4 linked regions of the Rhinolophus ferrumequinum genome follow. The main gene of each other region encodes a partner of the protein of the gene in region 4 in a complex. Links are inferred from orthologs where the notes say so. Each region holds a gene or a part of one and is shown on either strand. Other genes may lie near its edges.

Evidence for each region.
Region 1: MED8 (region 4) and MED16 share a complex: the UniProt entries of both Homo sapiens proteins name them as parts of the mediator complex. The link is inferred for Rhinolophus ferrumequinum from reciprocal best matches to the Homo sapiens genes MED8 and MED16.
Region 2: MED8 (region 4) and MED20 share a complex: the UniProt entries of both Homo sapiens proteins name them as parts of the mediator complex. The link is inferred for Rhinolophus ferrumequinum from reciprocal best matches to the Homo sapiens genes MED8 and MED20.
Region 3: MED8 (region 4) and MED13 share a complex: the UniProt entries of both Homo sapiens proteins name them as parts of the mediator complex. The link is inferred for Rhinolophus ferrumequinum from reciprocal best matches to the Homo sapiens genes MED8 and MED13.

Annotation. Positions count from the first base shown.
Region 1 is NC_046301.1:62,029,953-62,036,865, reverse strand, and holds the start of MED16 (mediator of RNA polymerase II transcription subunit 16), read right to left. Parts: upstream 3,008-6,913; 5' UTR 2,810-3,007; intron 1,390-2,809; 5' UTR 1,365-1,389; coding exon 1,232-1,364; intron 439-1,231; coding exon 331-438; intron 23-330; coding exon 1-22. Other genes in the region: R3HDM4 (R3H domain-containing protein 4), read right to left, coding at 6,352-6,455. UniProt on the Homo sapiens protein: Component of the Mediator complex, a coactivator involved in the regulated transcription of nearly all RNA polymerase II-dependent genes.
Region 2 is NC_046286.1:11,620,455-11,628,058, forward strand, and holds the start of MED20 (mediator of RNA polymerase II transcription subunit 20), read right to left. Parts: upstream 3,008-7,604; 5' UTR 2,903-3,007; coding exon 2,889-2,902; intron 543-2,888; coding exon 388-542; intron 1-387. Other genes in the region: BYSL (bystin), read left to right, coding at 3,386-3,647, 6,792-6,954. UniProt on the Homo sapiens protein: Component of the Mediator complex, a coactivator involved in the regulated transcription of nearly all RNA polymerase II-dependent genes.
Region 3 is NC_046304.1:26,085,457-26,093,469, reverse strand, and holds the start of MED13 (mediator of RNA polymerase II transcription subunit 13), read left to right. Parts: upstream 1-5,003; 5' UTR 5,004-5,128; coding exon 5,129-5,194; intron 5,195-6,952; coding exon 6,953-7,187; intron 7,188-8,013. UniProt on the Homo sapiens protein: Component of the Mediator complex, a coactivator involved in the regulated transcription of nearly all RNA polymerase II-dependent genes.
Region 4 is NC_046292.1:30,617,888-30,624,794, forward strand, and holds the start of MED8 (mediator of RNA polymerase II transcription subunit 8), read right to left. Parts: upstream 3,008-6,907; 5' UTR 2,913-3,007; coding exon 2,907-2,912; intron 1,551-2,906; coding exon 1,432-1,550; intron 754-1,431; coding exon 609-753; intron 315-608; coding exon 174-314; intron 1-173. Other genes in the region: KICSTOR complex protein SZT2, read left to right, coding at 3,117-3,143. UniProt on the Homo sapiens protein: Component of the Mediator complex, a coactivator involved in the regulated transcription of nearly all RNA polymerase II-dependent genes.

The sequences.
Region 1 (6,913 bases), on a different chromosome or scaffold from region 4:
TCAGCTGACAGTAGCCGGGAGCCTGTGGGGGGCAAACCTGCATCACAAACCCCCACTGCGGGAAGGGATAATCACCGCAGTATGTTAAGGGCCTGGGAGAAAGCAGCCCAGGGGAGTGGCACAAGGTATGCTGAGGAAATGGCTCTGGACATGGGGAACAGGAACAGCAGCAGCTGCAAAGCCACAGGTCAAAGGTTCGAGTTCCAGCTCTGGACTCTGGGGACATAACCAGGAAAAGACAGAGCATGTGACCCTGGGATTCAGAGTCAAGGGTGAGCACCACCGTGGTCTCCCTCCGCCATGCAGGAACACCCTCGGCTCTGCCCTCACCTGACTGGTCCCACTCAAGGCAGGTGATGGCCTCGCTGTGCCCTGAGTTGATAGAGTGCACATCCCAGGGATGCTCCGTGTCCAGGATGTGGATCAGTCGGGTCAGGTCTGCCGGGGTGGGGGACAGGGCATGGTCAGCAAGGTGACAATGACATGGCCCTGAGGCAACCAATGACCCCAGGGGGACTCAGGGAGGAAGCCAGAGAATGTCCCACCCACAGGGGAGTCATGGAGGTGCTGCTGACCAGATCGACGGCCCAGGCAGTAACGAGGAACAGGCCGTGTCCCCAAGGGAGAACAGAGCAGGCCCGGGAGTCTGCCACCAGTGTGTCTACAACCACATTGTTAAGAGACCCAGAAAACAGAAAGGGAAGAAAATGACCCCATACATGCTGACATGGAAGGTGACAGGTGGTTCTTTTTCCTCAGTTCCTGCGCTTTTTAAATTTTCTGTAATGAGTGCACATTACTCGGATGATGGAGAGAAGACAGCCCAGCATCCGTGCACCTTAGAGGCTTTCAAAAGCCAAACAGTGACATGTACGGCCCGGAAACTGAGGCACTAGTCTCCAACAAACCGGAGTGGGCTGCCCACCCTCAGCCCCTCCTATCACACAGGGGTAGGAGAGCATCCCCACAGTAGCCAGCACTTCAATGCGAGGTTCACCGAGGACAGCAGGCAGCAGTTCAATGCACCTGCCCTTTGCACTCCTGTGAGGATGAGACCCTCACCTCCCCCAGTTACAAGTGAGGAAGCCCTAAGAGGGCCTGGATGGGTGGAAGATAGCTCCCAGGCAGGCCTGGAGACTTGGAGTTGCCCAATAGCAGTGTTCCAGGTACTGTGGGAGCCTGTGTGGGGAGAGGAAGGACAGGGAGCTGGGCTGGAGGTGAGGGGACACACCCTGGTCGTCGTTCCGGAGGTCTGTGGTGAAGGCGATGAGGTTGCGGCAGGACCAGGCGCACGCCAGGGGCACTGATGGGCAGTGGGTGCTCTTGGGCCATTTCTCCCACTCGCAGACATAAGCCAGATCCATCTGTCACAGGTCACACACCAGTCACCTGAGGGAGGGAATGACCACCTGAGGGAGTGACAGAGAGGACTAGCTCATCGTAGCATTCACTGAGCACCTGTAGGGCACTAAAAGTTATGCTGGATGCTGGGTCGCCAGAGAATGAAAAGGGCCCAATCCCTGACCTTGGGTTTTGGGGATGGGGTGGGGAGAGCTGCATTTTAAACATGGAGGGTCAAGGAGGCCACACCAGGGAGACAACATATGAGCATGGGTGTGAGGGAGGTCTGAGGCATGGAGATGTCTGGGGAAGAGCATTCCTAGCAGAGGGTACAGCCACCGCAAAGGTACAGAGGCTGGACTGAGTCTAGGGTACTGAAGAAGTGGCCACGCAGCTGAGCTGAGGGTGGGGGTGACGGTGAACTTTCACCCAGAGTGAGGTGGGAGCCCCAGGAGGGCTGTGACCTATTTATGTTTCAACAGGACCCCTCTGGCTCTCTGCAGGGTACAGCTTAGGAGATGGGGTGGAAGTAACTGCACTGGTCCAGGCCAGTAACAAGGTGGACGGCAGTGGCAACTGTAAGAAGAGGTCGGATCCTGGGTTTACTCGGAAGGCAGGGCACTGGTGGGGCTGCCTTTGGCCGGGTTGGCGGGGAGTCAGCAGTTTGGTCTTAGTGTGGGACGTGCTGAGTGGAGCGCTAACAATAGAGGCGAACGTTTCCTCAGAGCTATGTGCCCGGCATCAATTATAGGTTATTTCCTTTCACCATCACAAAAGCCCAGTCAGATTGTTAATACGATCAACCCCCACGTCCCCAATTCTCCAGGCCCTGCTCCAGAACAACAAAGCCGCGCCACAAGCCCCTTCAACACTTTAAGTTCCGCTCCCAAAGCCTTCCATCCCCATCCCCTTCAATCTTTGCTTTCCAAACCCCGCTCCCAATTTGTTCCTTGAGCTCCCAGGCCCAGCCTAAACTCTCAGGCTCCGCTCCAGAGACCCCAACCAATCCCCCAGCTCAGTCCCCAAAGACCTCCAGCCACGCCCCCAACAACCTTTGCTTTCCAAACCCCACCCCCCAGATACCTGGCTTCCAGGACCCCACCTCCAATTCTCCCTCGGTACCCAGACTCCATCACAGGGGCCCCGCGCAATCTTTAGGTCCCGCCCCCCAGTCTCCCAGACCCTCAAGCCTCCCCTCCATTCGTCCGAGGACCCTCCTCAGGGACAAACAATCCCTAGACCCCGCCCCAATTTCCCCCAGCTCCGGACCCCGAGTTGCCGCCAAAAACCCCAGACCAAGCCTAGCGCGGCCCAGGCCACGTACCCAGAACCCTTTGCTCTCCAGACCCGCCCTCTGACCCCACAGACCCCGCCCAGGGCCCAGGAGTCCCCGCCTTCTCCGGGCCGCGCTGCCCTGGGCCGTCAGGAGGCCGGCTGACCCTCCGGGCCGTCGTAGTCCCGCGCTCACCGGACGGGCCCGTACACCACGGCCGCATACAGCACTCGTCCTAACTCCCCGGTTCCAGCGCCACTCTCTTTCCCCACGACCAACAACTCGACCGCGCAGCGCGACAGCTTCCCGGAGACTTCTGGGACGGCGGCGGCTCCGGCTCCGCCCCACTTCCGGGTCGTTTGAATATAGGCATTAATAATTCCCAGCAGCCACCTGAGTTTTATTTGGTAGAAAAAGAAACACTTTTTCAACTCCAGTAAATGACCGCATTTGGTTCCGCTATATGTTACCCTAACATCATATAAGAATTTGTTGCTAAACTTTTGTAACGAGGTTCACCGTTAGTGTAAAGAAATTTTATCTTTACCCTTTAAATAGTTCTCGGGTCACAAGTCGAACTGTGCTCGCTTCGGCAGCACATATACTAAAATTGGAACGATACAGAGAAGATTAGCATGGCCCCTGCGCAAGGATGACACGCAAATTCGTGAAGCGTTCCATATTTTTCTCTTTCCTGGTATCAGGAACTGCGACAAAATAAAGGAAGTGGTTTACCCAATCGAAGTTGCTTCCGGTCTCAAACCCCATCACTAAGTCCTCTAAAAGCTAGTTCTGTTTGTTCTCTACTTCTGTATAATGTTTATAGGTGGGGAAACTGAGGCGCTGATAAGCCCAGGTACCTTATCCAATTGAGGGCTCTTCTGGATTCAAACCCCATCCTCAATTCCTCCTCCAAAAGCTGCTTCTGTTCCTGCCAGACTTTCCCCAGTTTGAAGGGTCTTCCCCAGGAAGAACCCCCGGGGATTGCACGGAAGGGTGCACCGGGCGTAAGGCACCTCCTGGACAAAGGCCTGGAGGCCCTGGGAACCCGGCAGCCTGGGAACCCGGCAGCCTGGGAACCCCGGCTGGAAGAACTTGACACAGCCAGCATATGTCGAGGACAAGACTCGAACCCGCGTGGCAGTGGGAGAGGCCTGTGTGGGCCCCCAGAGCCCCATGCCCGAGGCCGAATCCTGTCCTCTGGGAACCTGGGGACTCGGTCCCCTTCGCAGATGGGAGGCTCCGAGCTGGCGACTCAAATATCTCCTTTTGTCCTCCGTACTAGCCATTTGGATTTCCATTATTCAGCGTCTATCTTTAAAATTATTTAAATGCATATTAAAATGGAATACAGTGCACCCAGCGCCCACTGGTTTCCAAAACAGTGCCCGGATAAAAGGAACCAGGCACCTGAGAGAAATACACCAGCCGAGCAGGAGCATCTTGTAGCGGCAGGAAGTCAGGACCGTGCTCAGAAAATTACCCCACAATGATGGGGATGCCTCAAAGAGACATGGGAGCCCTCCAGGAGAGCTCCCAGGGGCCAATCCTGGAGTCATTTCTGCAACAAAATGAAGTCATACTGGATTATAACCCAAAGTAGTAGGAAGTAAATACCCACCCCTCCACAAAGACATAAATGATTGAATAAATACAGGCACCGCGCCGGGGAGACGTGGCGGAGCTGAGGTTTGAACGAGGAACCAGGGAGGGGCCAGGGCGGCCGAGCCAACCGCCAGACACTTCCAGTCTCTCCACCTGCCTCACTCTCCGGCTGTCACTCAACGCGAAGCTCCTCCCCCATATCCACAGCCATAGAAACTCTTCCTCCAGATCCACAGCCCTACCTTGCAAAATTTCTATCGAATTAACGTAGATTCTCCGCCCTCTAGGAAACTCCCATCCCTCCGCGTTGGCTGCTCAAGGCGACTCATTCCGAGAGGGCAGGTGGGGCTGGGTGGGGCGTGGTTTAACTTCCCAGTGCAGAAGCCTGAAAAGCACCCCGGCCAGGAGATCAGCGTCAAAGTCAGCCGTGAGGAGCAATTGGGACAGCAGGGACCCTGATGTGATCAGATGAGCAGGGCGCTTCCCTCAGTGCAATCATGGGGGAAACAGCAGAAAACCCGGATGGGGAGGTCCTGCAGGACCCCCGGCCAGTCTCAGACATACATAGAGGGAAGACAACGTGAAGAGACGCAGGGAGAAAGCCACGTGACGACCACGGAGGCACAGGCCACAGGGATGTAGCCACAAACCAAGCGACACTGGAGTCCCGAGGAGCTGAGAGAAGCAGGAAGGACCCTCCCCTTGAGCCTCCGGAGGGAGCGCAGCCCTGCCACACCTTGAGTTTGGACTTCTGGCTTCCAGACCTGGGAGACGAGAAATCCCTGTGGTTTTCAGCACAGTGTGGGATATTTCTTCCTGCTGCTTCAGAAACCTTCCACGAGTTCATGCAGCTGGGGGGCGGGGATCATACAGCTGGGAAGTGGCAGACCTGGGGTTTGAACCTAAGCACCAGTGAGGGGCCAGGGCGGCAGAGCCAATGGCCAGATGCTCCCAGAAGTCTCTCTGCCACCTGCCTCACACTCTGGCTGCAACTCAGCGTGAAGCTACTCCCCCCAGGCCCACAGCCCTCAGCGACCAGGGCGCAAGAGCATCATGAGGGCCTGTTGGGCCCCAGCCCTGCCCCAAAAGAAAACCCCACAGCTGGAGACCAGAGCACCAGAAATTTATTGAACTCTCCACTTTCCTCAATGAGCAACTAACCACATACACGGGAGTGGGGTGTCCCCCAGCCCTGCTTCTCTGGACCAGGACAGGGTGACCAGCAAGAGAAAACCCCAAACCAATAGGCTAGAGCCAGGCTGAAGGAGGGGAAAGGTGAGGGGACATGGGGACATGGAGTGGGGAAAGTGGCAGTCCGAGGGAGGGAGCTTCTGGCTGGAAGTCCCAGACCTCCAGTATGAAAGGAGGGGAGAAACGTTGGAGGTGGGGGGAGTGGTAGAGCAGGCAGGGCCCCAAAAGCCACAAAAAGGCACCCGTTGACACACATTCCAAAGAGGGTTAAAACCAGCCTTTAAGCCACAGCTTGTCTAGGGTCACGAGCACTGGTATGCCCACGCGTACCCAGACACACACACACTCTCTCTCTCTCTCTCTCTCTCTCTCTCTCTCTCTCTCTCTCTCTCTCTCACACACACACACACACACACACACACACACACACACAGAGAAGATGGACTGCTTCTGGGCAGCACCCCAGAGACCTCCCCATCCTAGCCTAAAACTGGGAGGGGGTAAAGCAGGGACTAGAAGAAAGCCCCCCAATGTATCAGTTGGGGCAAGTATTTGGTTTTTCTTCCCAAATGGGAAATTTAAAAATCTACAACAAATCACACCGAATTAAGTGATAAAAACCCAGCTACTTCTCACTTAAGCTTCAGACTGGGCACAAAAAACTGAATCAAGAAGGAACATCAAAGTGAACAGACCGGTCTCCCCACCCAAATACAAGTCCCAGAGTGGGGAGCTACGGGGCCCTGGGATAGTTTGGGGCAGCCCCAGCTGCCAGCTGTTCACCTGGGAGAGCTGAGCCGGGCTGGGGCCAGGGTGAGGAGACCGCTTCCCCAAGGGGGTGAGCACATCTTCAAGGACAAACTCTAAAAATAACAAACATATTTTAGCAGATGGTATGGGAAGTCTTGGTGGGGGAGAGGAGCCGGCAGGCAGGGCCGCCATCAGCTGCGCTGCTCCAGGTAAGCAGACAGTAGCAGCCCAGGTGGCAGGAAGTCCAGGTGACGATTGCTGACTTTCATCTGCCTCTTGCCCTCCAGGTCAGCACCTGCAAGAGGGGACAAGTGGGGCAAGAATGAAAGGAACGTGAGAGTCATGGCACACAGAGGCACCGAGTTCTGGCTCTTCCCTGCCAGAAGTCACTGCAAGCTGGCACTTAGGGTCTGTCTGATGTGACCCCCTCCCCCGCCCCAGGTCCCAGGGCCAGACTCCCGCAAAGAGCAGTTGCTACGTTAGGGCCTCCCTCTGCACCCTGTTTCATCCTTTGTGTCCTTCATCCCGTGTTTAGATGGGCACACTGACACAGAGGCTGGAGGCCAAGGGGACACGGGCCCTGAACAAGTGTCGCACCTCTTTCCTGGTCCCCTGCGTCCATACCTGCCCTCAGGATCTCTGAAGCTCAGTCCTCCCCTGGCACCTCCTCCGTGCAGGCCCGGCTTTTCCCTCTCCCCTGCTCCCCATCTTGCACCCCCAGCCCAGTCCCTCCATCCTAAGCCTATGGGAACA
Region 2 (7,604 bases), on a different chromosome or scaffold from region 4:
CACCTGTAACAAGTAACCCAGATGATTCTGATGTAGTTAGTGACCAACTCTCTGAAAAACATTGCTTTAAAAGTGCAAAAAGACTTAAAACATAGGCCCCGTCTAAGAGCTAAGTGACCAAGAATTAATGAATTCAGAAACATATCTGCCACCTGTTCAAGAACACCACTCTTGGGGTGGCCCGTTAGCTCAGCTGGTTAGAGCGTGGTGCCGATAACATCAAGTTGCCACATAGGCCACTTTGAGCTGCGCCCTCCTTTAAAAAAAAAAAGAAAAGAAAAGAAAAAAAAAAACACCCTTGGAGAAGAGTAGAAAGATTCCAATGAACACAAAGGCCTATCAGCTCCAAGCCAGGTTCCAGCCATCTTGCAGACCCATCTCACTGACCTTGGCTGCCCAGGGTTGAGGCGGCCGTGTGGTAGGTCTCACAGTCCACACAAAACGTTCCTTGCTTCTCTGCCCCCAGCATCTCCAATTTCCGGGTGAGGAGCTCCACGGTCTGCTGGACACTCTTGCCCTCAGCCACAGGCATCTGGGACACACTGGAAGGGAGAGGACCGAAGCATCAGTACCCAGAGACACACGGGCACTTGCTGGGTCATGTGATCACCCACAGATTCACAGCCCCTCAGGGCCAGAAGTTACCTTAGAGACCACTTACCAGGACCCTCTCGTTTTAAAGAGGAGGCGACAGGGGACCACAGTCCCTGAGAACCAGAGCACAGGTCTCAGGTCACCAGTGCAGTGAACTTCCTACCTATCACCGCAGAAGTTCCTGAGCATGGCATGTGTGCCAACATTCAAGAGAAGATTGTAGGGCACACAAACTGAGCATTCGTTAACAGTGAGTCGTAGAACGAGAAAGGATTTCCTTGCAAGTCTTTAAGTTCTGACTGTATCAAGAACAAAGTCTCAATGGGGGGTTCATATGTTTTTCCCAACTTTCTAACACTTTGAACGTTCACTGTCCAATACAGCAGCTACAAGCCACATGTAGCCATTTAAACTAACAGAACAAATTAAATTACAAATTCAACTGCTCAGCTGCACTACCCGCATTTCCATAGCCACACGTGGCTGGGGGCAACTGTATTAGTGCTGACAGAACACTTCCACCAATGCAAAAAATTGTATTTGACAGCCCTAGGATCTAAGACAAAGCCTCAAGTGTATAAACTTTGGGAGAGGCAATAACACGTACAAGAATTTAATCAAGACAAGAAAGCAAAAAATGTTATTTCCAAGATTTCCTTCTCTGGTGAGTGAAACTGGCTTCCTCCTCAGAGAGGGAGGTTACCAAGCCCCAACTATGTGCCAGACAGTGCCCAACGGCCTTGAGATGAATTAATTATTCTGAATCCTCACAACAGCCCTAGAAGATGTCCTATAATTTATCTCCGTGTTAAAACAAAGAAACTGAAGTACAGAGGGCATGACCAACTTGCACAACAAGGTCTCACACCGTGGTGTGGTGCAGCCAAGATTCAACGCCAGAAGAGCTGGCTCCATGTCTGTGGTCTTAACCAGCACACTAGACCACTTCCCTAGGGATCTAGGTGCCTGTTAAAATACTGTTAAGGAAAAGAAATAGATTTCAATGAAAACATGAACAAGTAAGAGTACAGATGGTACTTAGCTATATAAAAATCATAAAGACAGTCATACGTGACTGACTTTTGGGAGACTGCATTACTTTATTATAATCAATCAACTAAATGAAGCTATCAAGATAGAGTCCTACAGTTGCTAAAAAGTGTTACTACTCTCCACCAGAAAAAGCACGGTAAGTAATGATGATGATGTGCCTTATTTTGAAATATAAGAGAACCCCTAAACTGATGCTCTAGGGTGAGAAGTCCCAAGAGCCTGAAAAAGTTGATAAGGGTCCCCACAGAGAGGCCCTTCCTTCTGTCTGCCTTCTCTACGGACAAAACGGGCTTCCAGGGTTCCCAGCCTCTGTGCTGCAAACTTTTCATTCCCATCCCTCACACATTTCCTTCACACTAGAAAACTTAAGGAAGGCTCGGGATGTCAACTGTAGAAACAAAAGTGCAATCACTGACAAACCTGCGAGAACCTGGGCTACCAGGAGTTGTTCCCGCGGACTTCAGACATCCTGGCCTCCAGCCCTCTGTGACTGGAAATGCTCACACTTACCCATTAAAGAAAAAAGAAAAAAAACGCCCTGAATTTAGCATTTTGTAACTAATACCTCCAAGAGCACTAGGCCCATACCTTTCCTTGCCACTCTGACTTATAACGTTAGTGAGAAGAAAACTCCATAAAAATTAGGCCAACCATCTAATTACACATAGTGTAATGCCTGGACCCCAACACCCTAATTCCCAATAGCTTCTTTTTTTCCTCTCTAGACCCAAGGTCTTACAATGGCCAAACTAGAACCAGACTAGAACCAGACAGGCTCGTCTAACTGCATTTAGTGGCTGTAGGAAGGGGCAGGCGAAAGCCTAAAAACGATAGTCTCCTGGTTGCCTATTCTACACCCGCTCCAGCCCTGCATACAAATAGGTCCTAATTCGCACATCCTATTTCCGACCCTAAAGTTCCACCCTGGGCAGTACTATGGCCTCACCGGCAAGAAGAGGTACCAAAAAAAAAATAATAAAAATACGAAGGAGGTACCCAAACACTGATAGGTTCCTGGTCGCGGGGGGGACCCAGGAGGAAGGCTGGCGTATCTCCAAGGAACAAGGCCCGAGAATCCGCAGCCCTCAGGGTGTCTCCCTCACCCACACAATCCGAGGACATCTTGCTCAGCTCCTAGGGACGGCCGACCCTGCTCCCGACCCTCCTCCCGGGTACCCTCCAGGCTCCGAGGGCCCTTCACGACCCCAAGTCCCGCCCCACAAAATCCCCCGCAGTATTACCAAGTCACTCCCATGGTGTAAGGTCAGGAGGGTGGCAGGACGCAGCAGTGGGAACGCGGAGCCCTCCGAACGCTCACATTGGGGAAGACTCCTCCGATGCAAGCGTCGCGGGAGGAAGGGGTTCCGGAAGTGACGTAAAAACAGAGCGCCTAGTCGTCGCTCCACGAGAATAGGGGCGTGTCTAGGCGCTTCGGTGACGCCTCCAGTGGCATCTCTGCCCGAATGTAGTACCCAGGCTTGCAGCTCTCTGGGCCTATATCCACAAAGCTTAGAGAAGCCAACGTTAAATGCAATAAGTGTATTTGGGAGTCCAGCTCCAGGACCTGTGAGCTCTTAGCGGGCGGGACGGCGCTGACGGCACTCCTGGCCTCCGGACGATAGGGGGCGCTGTGACCTCCGTGTGGCCTCTTGGGCGCTGGGAGTTCACTGCGCAAGCGCATTCAGGACTTATTTTCCGTCTCCACGTGTGAACCTTCCCCGCAACTTCTTGGAGAAAAATGCCCAAATTCAAGGCGGCCCGCGGGGCCGGAGGTCAGGAAAAACACGCGCCGCTGGCCGAGCAGATTCTGGCTGGGGACGTGGTGCGGGCAGGGGCCCGGGAGAAGCGGCGGGGTCGCGGGACCGAAGAGGAAGAGTATGTGGGGCCCCGGCTGACCCGACGGATTTTGCAGCAAGCACGGCAGCAACAGGAGGAACTCGAGGCCGAGCATGGGACTGGGGGCATGCCCGCGGCGCCCAGGGAGCGCATCACACGGCTGGGTGAGTGGCGGGGGGTGGGTGCGAGGAAGAGAGCGGTTAGGTGCGGGTGGACGGGTGTGGGGCAGGGGGAATAGCTTGGAATAAAAAAAAGGGGAGGTCCGTAGCACACGCTAGCAAAAGTAATGGAATGAGAGACCCAGTCCTGGAGCGGATTTAGGGTGGTCAGCACCCTCCACGCCCACTCCTAGTTTTAAGCCCTCTTCTAGGCACCCCTTGAAGTTAGTCCAACAGGAAGTGATTGCTCGCACCACCAAGTTCTAGTATTTATCCGTTTGTTCTATACATACTTAGGGGATGTCTACCACTACGCTTCATTCGCACTGTGTTAGTTTAGATGGTTTGGGTAAAGAAATAAACAGGCTAGACATGTGCCTGACTTGCAGATAGTCTAGGAGAGAGACAATCCGATAGGCAAGTTAGAATAATACATTCCATGATAAAGTATAGTTTCTCTGATAACAGTGGTCTTGGTGAGTCAGACTTCCCAGATTGCATGACCTTTTGCTGAGACCTAAAAAAGTGAGTGGGGCCTGCCTGCTCTGAGCAGAAAGTGCAATGTGGTTTAGGGGCTAAAGAGGGAGAGAGAGTAAGTAAAAGATGGTCAGCATTTTCTTGTTAGGGTGGGAGTGTTGACCCCCCAAGTTGCTTAATCCATTCTTCAGATCTCATCTTTAGTTTGTCCTGACACAATTGAACATTGGTCTCCTGGCTACAGTATCTTTACTTGGCTTCCAAGACATCACATTCTTGTGTTACTACTTTCTTACCTCTCAGTATCTTTTGCCGGTTCCTCTTTTGTCCCCAACCTCTTACTGAAGTGCCACAAGGTTCAGTCTTTGGATCTCTTCTCTTCACTTACTTCTCTGGTGCTGTCATCCATTTCATCGTTTAAATACCATCTATTTGGTGACTGCTCCCTTCTTTATATTCTAGCCCTGATTTCTTCCACGAACCCCAAATTCTTGTATTTCAGCTGCCTATTTGGCATCTCCAGTTTGAAATCTATCTCAAATTTAACATGTTCAAAATAAACCTTCTCGCCAAACCTACTCCTCCCACATTTTCCTAATTTCAGCTAACAGTATGATATCCTTCCGTTTGCTGAAGACTGAAACCTCAGACTTTCTCACGTCACATCTGATCTGTAAGGAAATCCTGTTGACTCTACCTTCAGTTAATGTCAGACCACTTCTCAGCACCCTGGAAAACCATCCTGTTCAAGCCACCACCATCTGTCCCCTGGATGATTACAGTACCCTCCTCATTAATATCCCATACCCCCTACAGTCCATTCATAAGTCAACAGCTAGAAGATTACAAGGGACTCAAAAGTCCTAGATCTGCTGCTGTTGCCAGTCTAACCTCTTCTGCTTTCCCCCTTTGCCCTCTTCATTTCCAGCGTGTAGGCTTCATTATTCTTAAACATGGCCAGTGAGGGCCTTTGCCTTGGCTGTTCCTGTCCTCGTACACCTACAGGCTTACTCCCTCGGTTCCTCACCTTCTCTGAGAATCCTGTCCTGACTACTCTATTAATAATTGTGACCCACCCTTGTCTCCACACTCCCAACTTCTACACCCTGTTTCTTTCTTCTTAGCACTTGTCTTTTCACCTAATATGTTATATTGATTTATTGTCTCTCCCCCGTAGAATAGAAGCTCTATCAGGGCAAAAAGTTTTGTCTGTCTTGTTCACTCTTATGTTTCCAGCCCCCAGAACAGTGTCTCACACGTGGTAGGCACTCAGTGTTGGCTGAATGAACGGATGAATGAATGATGGTGAGGTGGGTAGGAGCCAAGTCTGCAAAAGACTTGAAGGCTGTGCCCGGATTGAAAGCTATCAGAAAGACATTGGGAAACTATTGGAGAATTTGGAGACCAGTTAGGGGATTGTTACATTAATCCAGGCAAGAGATGATGCTGATCTAGGCTTAGGCAGGGCTGTGAAGAATTTGACACCTACTCCATGACGTAGAACGGAATAGAATTTGGTAACTGATTGGGTGTTGGGGGTGAGGAGGGGATGCAGCTCGCCTTCCTCCCAGGTACTGGCTTAGCACTGGGTGGATGGTGGTGCTGTGTAGTTGGATGTGGAACACAGTAGAATGGACCTCGGAGGAAAAGAGTGACTTCTCGGGTTGATGACAGGTGAAGTTTGAGATGCCTGTGGATCATCCATGAGTGGCTATACGGGTGGCAGCTGGAGTTAGGGTCAGGAGCGAAATATCTACCTACAAGTACAGATTTGGGAGTTGTTAGCATGTGGAGACAAACTGTCCCCCCCCACACACACACACACCCCTGCATTTAACTTCTGTGACACACTCCCTCTGTTCTTAATGACCTGTTCATGTGCAGCCTTGCACCTCACTGTGTGGAGTATTACATCCCTTACGAGACACTCAGCCGGCTGTCGAGCCTCCCACTATAATCATTTATTGGTCCATTGGACTCTTAACTCCACTGCCTGGCCTCAAAGCCCTCCGCGGTCTGCCCTCACATTCCCGTATTGCTAGGCTTATTCCTAGCTACCGCCTAACACCGGCAAGCCTTTTTGCCAGTGTTTCCCGGGTTTGGAATGCGCTCCACCTGCTCCCCTGCCCGGAGCCTCACCGTCCTCTGCACTCGTCATCTAAATGCCTATGGTATATACTGTCTCTACCATTCATTTGATATATAATCAAGCTCCACCACGTGTGTAGAATAGAGGTAAAGCATGCACAGTCTAGACGCAGATTTCCCGCCTTCGGCAAATTAAGTAACTTTTCTGTGTTTCAGTGTCCCATCTGAAACTGGGTATAATAATGATAGTACCTAGTTCTCAGGGTTGTGCGAGTTACCGGCAGTATTTAGAACAGTTCCTGCTACCTGGCTGAGTATAGTGTGTTAACTGTTACTTGCTGGCAGCGCTATCTTATTGGTTCCTATGTGTACATTTTGTGTCTCAAGCAAGGTTGTAAGCCCCGGGGGGGCGGGGGGTAAAGGGGTGTCGGAAGGTAGTGTGTGCATCATGTTTTACTGCACACATCTGTGTCTATTACAAGCACACGTGAGGCTATACTCTACCTGATGGTTAAACTTAAATTGAGCTCTGAATCCCTCACCCACTGCTTACCTTGCTCACACACTTCATCTCCCCTCTTGTAGGTCCAGGCGTGCCGCAGGATGGCTCAGATGACGAGGATGAGGAATGGCCCACGCTGGAGAAGGCTGCCACAATGACAGGGGCGGACCACCACGCAGAGGTGGCCGTGGACCCTGAGGACGAGCGTGCCATTGAGATGTTCATGAATAAGAACCCTCCTGTCAGGTAGGGCTGACGTGGCCTGGCATTGGGGGTGATAGGTCCTGGGGGCAGCTTCCCACGGGGAAGTTGTGGGGGAACCACCGTAACCAAATTGGCCCATCCTCCGAGGACCATTCTGAGTGAGAATGACCCAGACAAAGTACCGCCTCCCCCTCTGTCCACCTGTCCTAGACCTACCCTGATTACCTGGGGAAACTGCTGCTGGGCTTTTCCATGTCTGGGGAGAGCCATCCTTTTGCATTTGGTGTTGGTGCGCTCAGCGTTCGTAGTGGTCAGCTCGGTTTCCTTGGCCAGATGTCTTGCGTACCCTCAGCTCCGTTTTATCCAGGGTCTGACAGCCTTGGCACTGTTGGTATGTGGGGCTGGATAAGTCTTCTTTTGTGTGGAGGCTGTCCTGTGCAGTGGAGGATGTTTAGCAGCATCTCTGACCACTACCCACCAGATAGCAATAGTGACCTTTCCCCCAGTTGTGCTAACCAAAAGTGTCTCCCAGCATTGCCAAACGTCCCTTAGGGGACAAATTCACCCCCAGTTAGAACCACTAATTTAGTCCCATCTATAATAAATGCTGGCTCCAAGGCATGTCAGCATTTAAGCTCCTGTGGTCAAACTCCTGAGCGTGTGGACTTTGGCCCAGGGGTGGGGTGTCTGGG
Region 3 (8,013 bases), on a different chromosome or scaffold from region 4:
CACTCCTTCCCCTCCCTGAATCTTCTCCTAGCTCAACCCAACTCATTGTCCTTTAAGATTGAGTTTTAACTGTCCCTCCAGGAAGTTTCTCTTGAGCCCCTCATGATAGATTAGGCTTCCTTACCATGTTTTACACACCTCTGTGGCCTTAAGCAAGTAGCTTTCTAAATCTCAGCATCCCAATCTAGAAAATTGGGATAATATAGTACATACCTCAGAAGCTTGTGACAAGGATGATAATTAATGCAAGATACTTAGCACAATGTCTGACATATTTAGTGTTACATATTAGGTATTAAATCATAGCAATTACTTAAGCCAATATTTTCATTATGCTTGAGAAAACAGATCCAGAGGAGTCAAATGACCAGCTCAAGTAGAATAAAATTAGGGAGAGGGGAGATCTGATTTGCTTAAGGTTTACAAACCAAATTTCAAAGTGAGGAAATTGGGGGGAATTGACTTCAGATTTAATATTAAAATAAAATATTTATCGAGAAATAAACTTGAGGTTGAGAATAGTTTCTATACTACCAAGAAAAATGGCAAGTCAGGGCAACTTACAAGTCAATCCAGGATGTTTGATGCTTAGACTGAAATGTTTTCTTAGCTTTCTCAACTTGCTAATTTACTTTGTTTACTTCTATATTCAACAAAGTAGTGTCTGTGCATTCACTAAATAAAATGGTTTGTAACTCCTCAGCCTTTTTTATTTATTTTTTATTAAGTAGAACATCAAACCATTAACATGACCTTAAGAAAATCAATATTGTCCCCAGGCTCAAGACCCCTCACTCCACAGCTTAATTGGTCCTTAGCTTTCAGCTTTTGCCTCTAGACTTGTATTAGCCAATACAGTTGCCACTGGCCACATGTGGCTCGTGGTTACTTGAAATGTAGCTAGTCTGAACTGAAATGTTCTATAAGTGAAAATACACACAAATTTTAAAGGTTTGGTTAAAAAAAGAAAAGCAAACTGTCTGAATTTTTTATATTGACTACAGATGAGATGATAATGTTTCTGTTACATTGAGATAAATATATAGTTAAATTTAATTTTAGCCTATTTCTTTTTATGTTTTTAAAATGTAGCTACTGAAAAATCTTTACTTACTTGTTTTGCTCTCATTATATTTCTACTGGACTGTGCTACTCTAGACCCTGGGATTTTTCAGGATCAGGTGGGAAGCATTAGACCTAAGATCAGACATTGCCCGTTCCTGGACTTTCTCTGTCTCAGATGATGTAACTCTGCCACCCTTTTTGGAAGCTAGATGCCTCCACTATCCCATTCAGAATGGAGCCCTTAAAAGGCTGAAAGAGTTAAAGAACAATTTTAAATGTAGATCAGTGAACAAATCCATATTTCAAAGAATCGAAGACAATAGGTGATTATTGACCAGGCAACACCTAAGATTCACTTTAACATTCCCAATTGGCTCTTCTACTTTACTTGAATTATCTCTTTTAATTGTTACAGCTCTAACATTTAGGTGCTGTTACATACACATTTTACAAAGGAGTAAATGGAAGTTAGAGAGCTGGCAGGCGTGGCCTGGCGTTTTGATCCCAGTGCCATATCTAGCAAGATTATAAGCTCCTTGTATATCCTGTGCTTTGTCCATTCATGATCTGACACATACTAGATGGTCAGTAAGTGTATAGTAAAATGTATATGTAATACAACTTCAACCATGTAGAAAATACACACACACACACACACGCACACACACACAGGGCTGGCAGGAAATATATCAAAATGTTAAAAGATGTTTAATTATGAATGGTGATGTTATAGGCATTTTTAGAGGGTAATATGCATTTTTATTTTTTATCTTTACACTTTTCTGTATGTTCCGAATTTTTGACAATGTGCATATACTGTTTTTATTTCCATTACTCTTTAAATCACACAAAATATCATTTAAAGAGAATGTAGGTGGTTACTGACATAAGGTGGTTTTTCTATGTGCTGATACTGCTCTCTTCTCTTGTCCCCATGATGTTTCCATTCCCCTCACAGTTGGTCCCTCTCCTCCACTTTGCTTCTCCATTTTCTCTCTCAACCTCTCCTGCTTTTTCACCTCTCTCTCTCTTTCTCCCTCTCTCTCTATTCTGCTCCTTTCCATGACCCTCTCTCAGACTTATTCCTCTGGATCTTCCTCCCTTCTTGTCTCTTTTCTCCTGTCGCCCCGCTTTTTCTGAGAAGATTGACATTCACGTGAAAGGTCAGTCAAATGTTCCTGTGCACGTAGTAGGTTTCAGGCAGATTGTACCTGCCTCTGGAGTCCGGAGGGAGATGCTCAAATTGGGTGATGGGAGGGCAAGACTTCTAAAGAGGATGGCTATGTTTTGGATAAAATAAGAGGTGGGGTAGGACACTGAAGAGTGACTAAAGCAGTGGGAACAAAGGTCTGAGTATTCTCTCAGGAAAAGAGATGAGCAGAGGCTCTTACCTTATTGGGTCTGGGGATTGCTGCCTCCTGGTGCTGGCACTCAGTTAGAAAGGATGTGGACCTTAGTTGATTTGAGCTCCTGGATTGAATTAGTCCTGGTTGTATAATTGACTTTGATATGTGGCCTTTAGATCTGAAATGGGTTTAATAAGATTTAACTGCTTCAAAGGGCTTTATAAGAATTCATTTTATCCTTTAAATCTGATTTCAAATGCTGCCTACTTCAAGATGCCTTCTCTGACTTTGGTGCTCCTCCTCCAGCGCTCCTATTGTGCCATAGTTGATACATACCTTATTCAAGCAATTACCTCCATTGTATTTTATCTTTTTCTGTGGGAAATAGTTCCTTTATTGCCTCTCTTCAGGACTCTTGAGGGACAGGCAGTTATCTTATTCGTATTTGTATCCCAGGCCTAGCAACACACTCAGTTATGCACACAAGTGCTCAATAATGATTTTAAAAAGTATGTTAATGGCTAACATTTAGTAAGCACTGTGGCAAGCTATACCTACACTGTTTCTTTCATGAGACACTTTAGGAGAAAAGTATTTTTATTATGCCCATTTTACAATGAGAAAACTGAGAGAGTAATTAATTTGATCTAAAGTCAAATTTGATCCAAGATCAACTAGTAGTAAGTAGCACAACTTTTTCTACAGGCACTTGGCTTCAAGATCTGTGCTCTTAACCACCGTAGACAAATGAATGGATGGATGAGAAATGCGCTTCATTCTGTGGCTGAAGAAGTCACGTGGAAGAGTCCACCATTTATTTTATAGAGGCAGTTATGATTTAAAATTATGATAAGTCCTGAATCACTGATGTTTTTAACTTTTGAATCACCTTTACTTCTCCCTCCCTCCTTCCTCCCTTTCTCCCTCCCTCTCTCCTTTCCTCCCTCCCTTCCTTCCTTCCTTCCTCCCTCCTCCCCCTCACCCCCTCCCTTGCTTTTTCTTTCTTTCTTTCCTCCCTAAAACTCTCAGGAAAAAATGTTTGAACTCCTACATTGAAATGCAATTCAGGCAAGAACTGAGTGTTTTATGGGGACGGAAACTAACATCTTACTTGGTTCTACTTCTTGCCATTCATTCACTTGCAAATTTACGAATATAAGGCACCTACTGTGTGCTAGGAACCTTTTGTAGACACTAGAGATAGAGCGGTAAACAAAACAAAGTCCCAGTTCTCACGGAGATTACACTCTAGTGGGCACTTTAAATAACGCTGGTTCACTTAGTCCTCACAATAACCACATGAGGTAACGATGACAACAATAATAGATAACTCTTAACAATGCTTATCTGTGCCGGGTACTGGGCTACCATGCTGTATTTGTCTTAACTCAATTATCACAACAATCCTGTGAGGTAGGGGGTATGTATGCTTTCCTCATTTCACAGATGAGGAAAGTGAGACATAAATCGGTAAGTGACTCCTTGAAGGTTCGAACCCAAGCGGTGTGTCTCTAACACCAGGCTATATTGTTTCGTTTGTTTCTTTCTTAATATCACAACTTTCAAGTGGCTGAGTCTTATCTCAGATCGTCTGACTCCCATGCCCAGGAGTTTGCGCTGCACCCCCGCGGCCTCGTGAAATACATGAGAAAACCTTGGAATTTTTTCAACACTTTCTCTTCCAAAGAATTCAAACTGCTTTCCACGTAATTCTCCGAGTTGTGATGTAAAGCTCTTGCACTGTCAATTCCGAGCAAGTAGAAAGACAGGGCCAGGGCCCTGGGTCATCCTACACTGGCCGGGGTACCCAGCAGATGGCGCTATCTTAGTAGCCACCACCTGGCTGCCCAGTCCCCCGGGCTCACCGCCTTCGCCGAAAGCTTCCCGGCCCTCCCTCGCTCCCTTCTCTCTCCTCCTCCCCACGGAGCCCGGGCCCACGTGACCTCAAGGCGGCCAATGGGCGAGCAGAGAGGGCGAGCTGGTCCCTGTGGCCGCCATTAAAGCGAAGGGAAAACCCGTGAATTCGGATTAAAGGGGGAAAAACACAGCCCGCTGGGCCCACAAAATGGGGGAGACTACGGCGTCCGGGCTGTGAGGCCGTAGGAGAGGAGACGTTAGGCCGGCTTGGCCCAGGGACTACACGAAGACACAGCCAGAGAATGGTTTGAGCCCGCAGACACCACCACCACCTCCGCCACTGAGGAGACTCTGGGCTTAAGGACATCGCCGCTGCCGGGCCGGGGGCCTGGGCTTCTCTCCGGTTCTCGCCCTTCCCGCCCCTCTGCGGGCGCCTCCCCGCCCGGGAGAACCCTCCAGGGCTTGGGCTCTGCCCTCTCGGACTCGACTTTAATTATTTATTGTGTAATTTATTATTTTTCTTGTGGAAGGGGCACACATCCCCTCTGTCCCCCAGACAGGGACGAGCGTCCGCGGGCTCCGCGGCGGCCGCAGTCCGGCCAGCGGGGTGAGCGCGGCACGGACCGCCCGCCTCCGGCCCTCGGCTCCGGGCGGCTGGGTGCCGGCCGGGCGGCGGGGGCTGCTCGCGGCGGCGGGGGGGTGGGTGGGGAGGGCGGGCGGCCCGGCGGCCTCCTCTTCCACGGTCCCCCCAACCAGCACCCCCCCGCCCTCCCCGGTGTCTGTGTTTCTCTCTCTGGTCGGAGGCGGCGGTAATGGCGGATGGTGGGTTGTGGCGCCGGCGGCGGCTGCTGTGAGGGACGATGAGTTCCTCCTTCGTGCCGAACGGGGCCAGCCTGGAAGATTGTCACTGTAACCTCTTCTGCCTGGTGAGTGCCGGGGCCGCGGGCGGGGACCGCGGCGAGCAGGGCGGTGGGGGAGGGGGCCGCGAGGTGCGCCCTTGGGCCGTGGGGGAGGGGTCCAGGTCTGATCCAGATGCTGGAGTCCCCGGGCTAGGCCCAGCCGGAGCCGGCGCTGCGACTGAGCTCCGCACCCGCCTCGGGAGACGCGTTCGTTCACCCGCGGTCCTGGGCTCTGTTTTAGGAGAGTTGGCTTTTTTTCTTGTTTCTGACTTTTTCCCCCTCACCACCGTGGTCTTGTTTTCAGCTTGGGCTCCTTATCTGGCAGGACACTAACATTTCCCTCTGTTTAACTGTTGCTTTTCTCATTGACCATGTATCCCTTCACACTTTACATTATTGCCCATTCTCCCACTGTTTTTATGCCTCACTCTGGTGATTTGTTTCCCCCAATAAACAGGACCCCGGAACTTAGGTACTAAAAATCTCTTTTCGTTTTGCATTTTTTGTATGAGTCGAACTAACAGAATGTTAGTTTCTTCCTTGGGCGACTACAGACCTCTGTAAAAACCAGTAGATGCCATTTCATACGTTTTCTCTTTAAACTTTGAAAACAGTTTGCCATTTTGACAATTTCTAGCCATCTTGCTTTTATTAAAACATTATGTTTGTGTGAGAGTTGAACGTACTAAGAGAGAAGGTTCTATGGTTTTGCAGTAAATATTTTTGTCTTTTGCTTGCATGTTTAGAATGTTTTGGGCAGCCTGCTCCAGGTTTTATTGAAAAGTGTGGGGAAGGTGACAATTGTGTAGGTTGGCCCATGTCTGGGAGCGTCCAACCGTTTAAGACTTTAAAAACAGTATCAGTTGTTGCAAATACTTAGCCCTCAATTGGACGGTAGCTTAGCTTCAGCAATGATTTAAAGTTTCAGTGACTTCCTTTTTTCATCTTCCCTGCGCTTTGAGAAATATTAAGAGTATACGATAAGGGAATTGAGTGGGCGGAGCAGAACTAGTTGGCAAGTGTAAACTGCCAGTCATGTATCAGCAGTTTCATTTCTGGCACCTATACTTTGCACCTTTAAGTTAAAGAATTACTGAATTCCCTCTTGAATTTCTTTCAGGATGTTAAGTTAAGATCTTTAATGTCCTTTCCCCTATAAAATGTTTTCTTGTCCAGTGTCCATTAATCAGCATCTCTTCAGATGTAATAAGACAGCAGGTTTTACATTTCTATCTTCTCCAACTCAGTCTATTTTTGGTGCTTTTAGGATCAGGTTCTTTGAAGATAGACTAGCACATATCTGACAGTTCTTTGTGAGCAGCTATTTGACTTTTCCTAAAAGGGATATGTGAAGAAGTAACAAGAATTTTTTGTTATAGTTCAGACTTCTATAAACATGGAATGATGATGAGTCTTTAAAAATTAATTTTCTGTTACAAGTTTGACATTAAGGACAAATGTGACCAGTTAGAACAGAACTTAGGATAGATAGGAAATGTTTACTCAGTGTGCAGTATTAAAGTACATATTTATATTTAACTTTATTACGTTTCTTTTATTTCTCCTTGGAACACCCATTAATTGACTTGCTATTCAGTGATCTGTCATTGTTAATTTTTTCACTGTTTTTGTTCAGAATTATTAAGCATTTTTTTGATCAACCTGCTTTCAATATTTTAAGTATATCTTGAAAAATTTTAATCCTTGTGAAATAAGGGACTTTTAATAGTGAGTACTTTTGACTTTGCAGTAATAAAAAAAAAAATCATGCTTTCTTTTCTTCAGGCTGACTTGACGGGAATTAAATGGAAAAGATATGTATGGCAAGGCCCAACTTCTGCCCCTATTCTGTTTCCGGTGACAGAGGAAGACCCCATTTTGAGCAGTTTTAGTCGCTGCCTTAAGGCAGATGTACTTGGTGTTTGGCGGAGAGATCAAAGACCTGGAAGAAGAGAATTATGGATATTTTGGTGGGGTGAAGACCCTAATTTTGCTGACCTTATTCACCATGACTTATCAGGTGAAAGCAACTTAACCATTTCTAGCTAATGAATAGCAATGTATCCTTTACTCCAAAATTGTCTTTATTAAGATTTTTTGGTGGAACACTTAGGTATGAAGCCAGATACAAATTCAGCTTCATAGTCTATTTCATTGTGGTTATTTTATTTTACTTAAATTATCCATATTATGGCAGGCTTTTTCAATCTTCAGTAACTTGATTCTTTCATCACCTAGCTTCCTCATGAATTTGTCATAGACAGGCCTAAGGAAGACATTATATTAACCTAAGAAAAATGGAATCAGGGAGCATAAAGTTCCTAACAAAGTTGTAATACTTTTGAAGCCAGTTTAACTAAACTTGGAGTCAGTTTTGCCACTGCTCTCCTGTATATACGAATATGAATATGCTGGCAGTTGTAGCAGTATCTAGAAATGTGTTGTAACTTTCCCACGTTTTTTCAAAGCATATGGTTATTTTGTTATTGTTATTTGTGGTTATTTTATTATCATGTGAAGACATGTTAATTTTGTTATTCTTGGGAAGTGATTCTTTTATTTTAGATACCTTCCAACGAAGACTATCATTAATATGAGAAGAGCGCCAACTTATTTAGCTTTTGTAGGACATTAGGGGGCATACTCGAAAAAGTTATACAGAAATAATTTTATTATGAGCAAATCAATAAGATTTCTTCCATCTTATTTTTTTGATTTAGGACCAAATGTTATTTTAGTATATGTGCTGCCGAAGTGAGCACCCAAATGTTATTTTAGAAAGAGAAACTGTAGCTCTTCATGAAATTACTGAAGCTTGTGTTTATTTTGGTGTAAGAGTCAGTGAG
Region 4 (6,907 bases):
GTTCAGAGATTAGGGCAAGCAAGAAATTATGCGGGGAAGTTTTTTCCTTGTGCTCTTCTAGGGGCAACTTACGTGTAACAACTATACATCCCTACCAGACAGCAATGGTAATGCCTAGCTTCTCATGATGGGACTTGGGGAATGGGGGCAGCAGGACAGTGACTCAGTCCAACCTGAGCTGCATCAGCACCAATGCGGGCAGCATCTGTTGTCAGTTGCTTCTCTTGCTCTTCAACCTCAGGGTCAGGCTTGGTTCTCAGATGGTCGGGGACCACCTCATGGCTGAAAACAGGCACTCGTCCTTCAGTCTGCCGCTGTAAAACACAGATTTTATTGATCCTTCTATGCACTCCAAGAAGATTCAGTTTGGCCTGATATATAGTTCTTGCCACAGGCAAACAGTGCATTTTCAGGGAAAACACAGCTTAAGACTTACAATATTTAGCTTCCTAGGAGACCAAAATTCAGCCGACACTTTTTATTGCCACACGCTTTTTATTGCCACACACTACACCACATTCAGAACTTCCAGAATAACCAACCAACAATTGTGCTCTAGGTCATCAAAGAATTTAATTTCCCAAGTTGCACCCTTCTCCTCCTCTTACCATGAGATCTTCATCACGGTCTGGGGACAACACCAGTGGAATGATGACCTGGTTACGGAACAGTGGTGTCTTTTCATGCTTCAAGACCTTGTTCAGAGTGTTCAACTGTCCAGACAGCAAGGCAAAGCTGTCCAGGACAGAGGGCCTGGTGGTGGTAAGAAGATGTCAGAATGTTCCAAGTAGCCTCGAAGGGGGTCTTTCAGATTAGGAATACTTGGACTTACCCCAAAAAGACAGCCCATGGCTGGACTGGGTGGGAACCAGACTGGCTTACAGGGATTGTGGGGTTAGGAAAGAGGGACACGCTTTCAGTTTCTGACACAGATGGAGAAAAAAGGCAGCTCATTATTTGAATGGGGTGAGGAACAGTGGTAAAATAGGAACCATGGCTACACTGTTACCACTGAAAATTCAGAAACTGAGTAAAAGCCTCCTTTCTGGCCTGGAAATAGGATCCATACTTCCAGAATAGGTTGTACCTAAAAGACTCAGCAACATCTGTGGTAGAAGATCCAGTATGACCACTGTATGCCTACTGCAGTGGGAGGACACACTAAGGGAGGACCTCTTCCCAGAGAAGTCAAAGGGCGAGAATCAAAAGCTAGGAAGAACCTAGGTTGGGAAACTGGGCATTTCTCTACTTCCTTGCCATGGAGGCCCTAAGCTAAACTTCATTTGTTAAATGTTGGGAAAGCCAGCTCTTTCCAAATCAAAAGATGTTTGCAAATTGATAAATGGTTACATCATTGGAGATATCCCATCCACCAGGAGGCCTGCCCTGCCACCCATGGAGTCCTCCCCAGATTGCCCTGGCAACCCTTACCAGGTCAGCCGGTCATACTCGTTCTCCAGCTTGTAAATGAAACTCCCCAGTGAGTTCTTTAGATCGGCTACTTGACTCAGCAGTGCATCTAATGATGCCTCAAGCTGCTTCTCCTCTCTCTGCACCAATAGGAACACGTTGGTTATCCAAATGGGTGTAAATATGACACATACAGAAGAAGGCTGGAAAGCCAGGGTGACAGTGTGCAACACTAGTCAAGTGACATAAGATCTCACTGGCATACGAGAGCCACGTCGTTTTCTATCTTTGGTATTTGGGTTACAGAGAGCATCAACCTTTAGACCTTTCAACCCATTCACCTGACCTCAATTCCTCCTACCAACTGATTCTTTCTCTCATCACGTCCTAATCCATGCCTGTCTTTTCTCTGGATTAGGTACACTCTATTGTCTCTCGTTGAGAAATTTTCACCAGACCTAATACCTGGGTTTATTATCTTTTGTGTACCTCTGCAGCATATGTACTCCTCTGTCCTAGAACCTGCCTTGTGAGCCTGGCTGTTCTTGTCAATGGCACACAATCTCTGGGAAATCTACCTACACATGAAAGTTTCTCAGAATAGGGCCTTGCACCACACACACACACACACACTCTCTCTCTCTCTCTCTCTCTCTCTCACTCTTCATTTGCCCTCAGCATTTGATGTTTCAACCTCCTCCTTGCGAAATTAATCTGCACTCACTTTACCTCTGTGCCAGTATTCTTGTGCCCCTTTCACCAACTTAGTCAACCTATAAACACTTACTGACCAACTACCAGGCGTGAGAAACTAAATGACAAATGACAGACAAAAAAATGCATACGTCCTAAGCACTAAACAATTGTAAATGCTGGGGTGTCTGCAAAGCAATTCCTTTCCATCTATGGTCTCCAGTTTTACTTCATTTCTTCACCCTTGACTACAGGCACAGGCTGGGAAAGCGTCTTGCAAACACGCCAGCCAATGTGTAGGGCAGGAGCCTTGATCCTGGATTCTACCCACGGCCTCAGATTCATTAACTTGGCTTTTGGCCCCCGCGGCACCACATTTCCGTCACCCCTCGGGCTTCTCTCCAATTACAGATGCCCTCTTATGTCTGCATCCAGCAGCGTCCAACAGCCTAGGCCGGGTCCTGAGCCAACCGGCCACTTTCTTAAGCTATCTTCCTTGGGTTGAATCTCAACCTTCCCCAATTACAACCTGATCCTTCCCCACCCCCCAGCAAGTCAGTGCTGCCTTCTCCCTCTCGACTTAGCCGCAGTCTCTGTCTCCTGTCAGCGGGGCTCCCACCCCATCTCTCAGCTCCGCCTCTCCCTGTCCAGTAGGCCTCGTCCCTCACCCCACTTTCCCCATCCATCAGCCGCGGGCTCTGCCCCTTCCTCTCAGCCCCAACTGCATCTCTCTTCGGCTGGCTCACTCTCGGCCCCGTTACTCGAAGTTAGCTGGCGATCCATAGTCCCGACCGGGCTCTCACCTGCATAGCGGCAGCAGTAGCGGCCGCAACGACCTCCTCTACCGGTTTCCAAGTCGCGAGTCACTCTGACAGGGCTTCGTCCACCAATCAGAGAGCTCAGAACGCGGCCCGCCCGTTCACTTCCGGCTACTGCGGGGTGCGAGGTAGCCGGGTCAGGGGTCACGAGTGGAACATCTTCTCTGGCCTGGGCCGGCGCGGGAGGGCTGTGTGATGGCCTCGGAGCGCCCGGAGCCGGAGGTGAGGGGCGGGCGGGCGCAGCGCTGGTTCCCGAGATCCGAGGGGGAGGGTACGGCGGCCGCGCGCTGCCGTGGCCTCCTCCGGGTCTGGGGGCGACCTGGACGTGTCGTCTGGGCCGGGGACCGGCCCAGCTTCTAAGGCCCGACAATTGAACCTCCTCGTGGTCCGCAGTTTCTTCGGGGGGTTTGAGGAAAAACTCGTCGCTTTGTTTTGTTTACTGAAACTTCATCCACGTCGCCGACTCTAGGGCTGTCGGGTTCTTTGACCTAATAATAATGATATTAACAAAAACTGTATTTTGATTTTTCTGTTGCAGTTTCAGCGGGCAACAGGGCAATATATACTTGGCCGGTTTCTGCATTTCTCCAAACATTGTAATCCCATAAACAGCATGAATTAATTTAGTTCTAGCGCTCATGCTGTGGGAAAGCAGCTTTGGTTTCCTGAAAAATTTTTGACCCAGAGTGAAACCTCGTTCCAATATTGGCGCTGCTATTTAGCTATCTGTGCAACTTGGGCAAGCCTTGACTTCCCAGATCCTGTTTCCTTCTTCATAAAATACCTGTCTTACGGTGCGTTGTGAGGATCGCATGTGTTAAACCAGAAAACGCATGTGACTTATCCATCAGGTGCTAAGGACCACGCAAGGAATTTCATATACATTGTGTTATTCGTACTTGTGCAAGGAAGGTGGCAGTAGCATTTCTCATTTACAGATAAGGAAACTGAAAAGTGAAAGAGGTTAAGTACCTTACCTAAGTGCTACTCAGCTGGGGAGTAGCAGAGTTTTGGAGTTGGAAGTTCTGAGCATAATATCCCTGAGATTTGGAAGGAACAACATCACTAGGAGAGGTGTCCAGTATTACAAGAGAATATGTGAATAGGTGGGAAGGGTGAGGGATGTATATAATGACACAACTAGTAGTTATTACTTATTGAATGCTTACAGCGTACCAAGTACCATTCTAAGCACTTCACCAATACCAACTAATGTGCTCAACCCTATGAAGTAGGCACGATTATCATCCCCATTTTTCAGGTGTGGAAACTGAGGCACACAGAGATTCAGAGCAATAAAGATACAGCTAGTAAGTAGTAGAGCCAGGACTCCAAAACGGGGAGGCCTGGCTCCAGACCTTGTGTTCTTAACCATAATGTTTGTAATGTAAATAAGAAAGTAAGTGTGGGATAGTAAACCTCCAGTTCATTGGGATTTGATATGACGAGGCCCAAGATAAAGTAAGAAACTATGCCTTATTTAAAACAGGGATGGTAGAATAGCCCATGCATCAGAAATATCAGTATTGAAAAAAACCATTTGGAGTTATGTTTTGCTATGGATTCAAATGGGGGAAATACAGGTATTTTGCGGGGAAATAAAACATGCCTTATAGGCAGATAGTCTAAAACAGCACTACCCAATAGAAGTTGAATGTGTGCCATATATGTAAATTTTCTAGTAGCCACATTCAAAAAGATAAAAAGAAATAGGTGAAGATTTTAGTAATGCATTCATTTAACCCCGTATTTCCAAAATATTACAATTTCAACATGTAGTAAATATTTTAAAATTATAAGACATTTAACATTCTTTGTTTTGTATCATGTCTTTAAAATCCAGTAGGTATTTTATATTGCAGCACATCTTATTTTAGACAAGCACCATTTCAGTCCTCAGTGGCCCCATGTGGTAGGGGATACCGAATACATTGAACATTACAGATCTAAAGTAACTTGGAGCCAAGACACATGCACCTGGGGGTCTCATTCAGGTAAAAGCTAAGCATTTCTTAATTTTTTGATTTGTATTTCTGAAAATTTTATGGCACAAGGTGAAGGGAGTAAAGAGTTCTTCTGCCCCTGGGCAGAAAAGTGACTGACTTTTAGAGTTTGTTACAATCTCAAGAGAGAAAGATTGGGCATAGTCAGATTTAAGAAATCATTCATTCATCAAATACTTAAAATATTTATGAGTGCTACTATGGACTCAGAATTGTGCTAATTATCAGGGAGGATGCGGAGCAGTGTAAGACTGACACCTTCCCTATTTTAAGGGAGTAAACAAACATCAAGTTATGATAAGTGCTGCAAAGGAAAAATACAGAGTGAATGAGTGTTTAACAGGGGCTCTTAACCTACTTTATTAAGAAGTGGTGGAGGCAGGGTGGATCAGGAAGCTGCTAGAGAGGAATGACATTTAAGCCTGAAGAATGAGTAGAAGTTGGCTATGAGAAGAGGCAGAGTGAGTAGTGTAAATCCTGAGATGAGAAGGAGCTTAGACCCTTTAGAGAACTGAGAGGAAGCAGCTTCTAGTATGGTTGCAGTGTGGCAATGAGAATAGCTAACACAGAGTGCTTACCAAATAATCATCTAATAGTCCTCAAATCCGCATGAAATGGATACTGTTAGTATCTTTATTTCACAGATGAGGAAACTAAGGCACAGAGAGTTTAAGTAACTTCACTAATAAGCAGCAGAACCAGTGTTTGCTCCTAGGGACTATACTTCAGGGGTAATGGGTGAGAGAGGCTGGAGAAGAAGGTTCAGGTTGAGGCCGTGCTAGAGTTTCAAGACTTTGGCATATGAATAGTGGTAAGGAGGCTTAAGACAGTTCAAGATGGAGAAATCTACATTATTTCGTGGGTCTCTGTTAACAGAAAGCAGCACAAGGGTTGGAAAAGCCTCAAAACATAATTTATACCTTAACCACAAAGGGACAGGTTCAAAAAATAACAAATAAATGAGATGGGGATGTTTCCGTGAGGCTGGAATACATGGTATGCAGCACAGCACCTGATGATGTTTTATTCATCTTGTTATAACTGGTATGTATGTAGGCCTCAGTAAATGACCCAAAGAATGATAGGCTTCCTCTATGATTGTTCTGACTCTCCTGTTTAATTGCAATAACATCCTTTTGAAGTAGACATCTGCATGTTATCAATAAAGAAACTGAGGCCTGGAAAACTTACGTAACTTGTCCAAACTCACCTAGATAGCAAGTAGTAGAACCACATTTGATTCCAGTTCTCTTAACTCCAAACCCTTGCTCTCTCTTTGCCAGACTACAAGAGTCATGTAGCTCAGACTCGGGGATTAAAGATTAGGGACTTGAAGCTCCCTATGAGTGTGGATGCTGTGAGAATACAACTAATTCAGGGATTCTCAAACATTAAAGTGGCAGAATCACTTGGGGAGTTTGTTAAATGCAGAGTCCTGAGCCCTCTCAACGCTAATTCAGTTTGTCTGGGGTGGTGCCCGGGAATCTGCATTTTAATAAGCACCCCAGGTAATTCTGATGCAGCTGGTCCTTAGAGCACACTTTGAAAAATACCATTCTAGCCGGTTAAATTAATTCTGAAGTCTAATGGTTTTGATAAATTACATCTTGAATGTGAAGATAACTTAGAGATGATGATTTGAAAACGTGGTTGTTGTTGTTGAAGCATCAGGTATAAGGGGGAATGTTGTGAGCAAGCTCGAGTTAGGCAAATGTTCCTAGTATCAAGAGAGTAGATTCTATAAGAACTGATTGATGAACTAGACTTCAGCGTGGCCTTGGATAGCCAGTCCATCATTCAAAATAACCTTTGAGATAAGATGGAGAAATGGAAGATGTACAGTTGTATAATTAAGCAGCCTACTAGCTAATAACCTGAAGAAAGTTTTCTAATAGCACAGTGCTCGTCTATAGCATCCAGCTGGTTTATCCCCCTTTTCCTCCTCACTTAGCACACCCTCCCTGCGCAACTGTCAGCGTTACT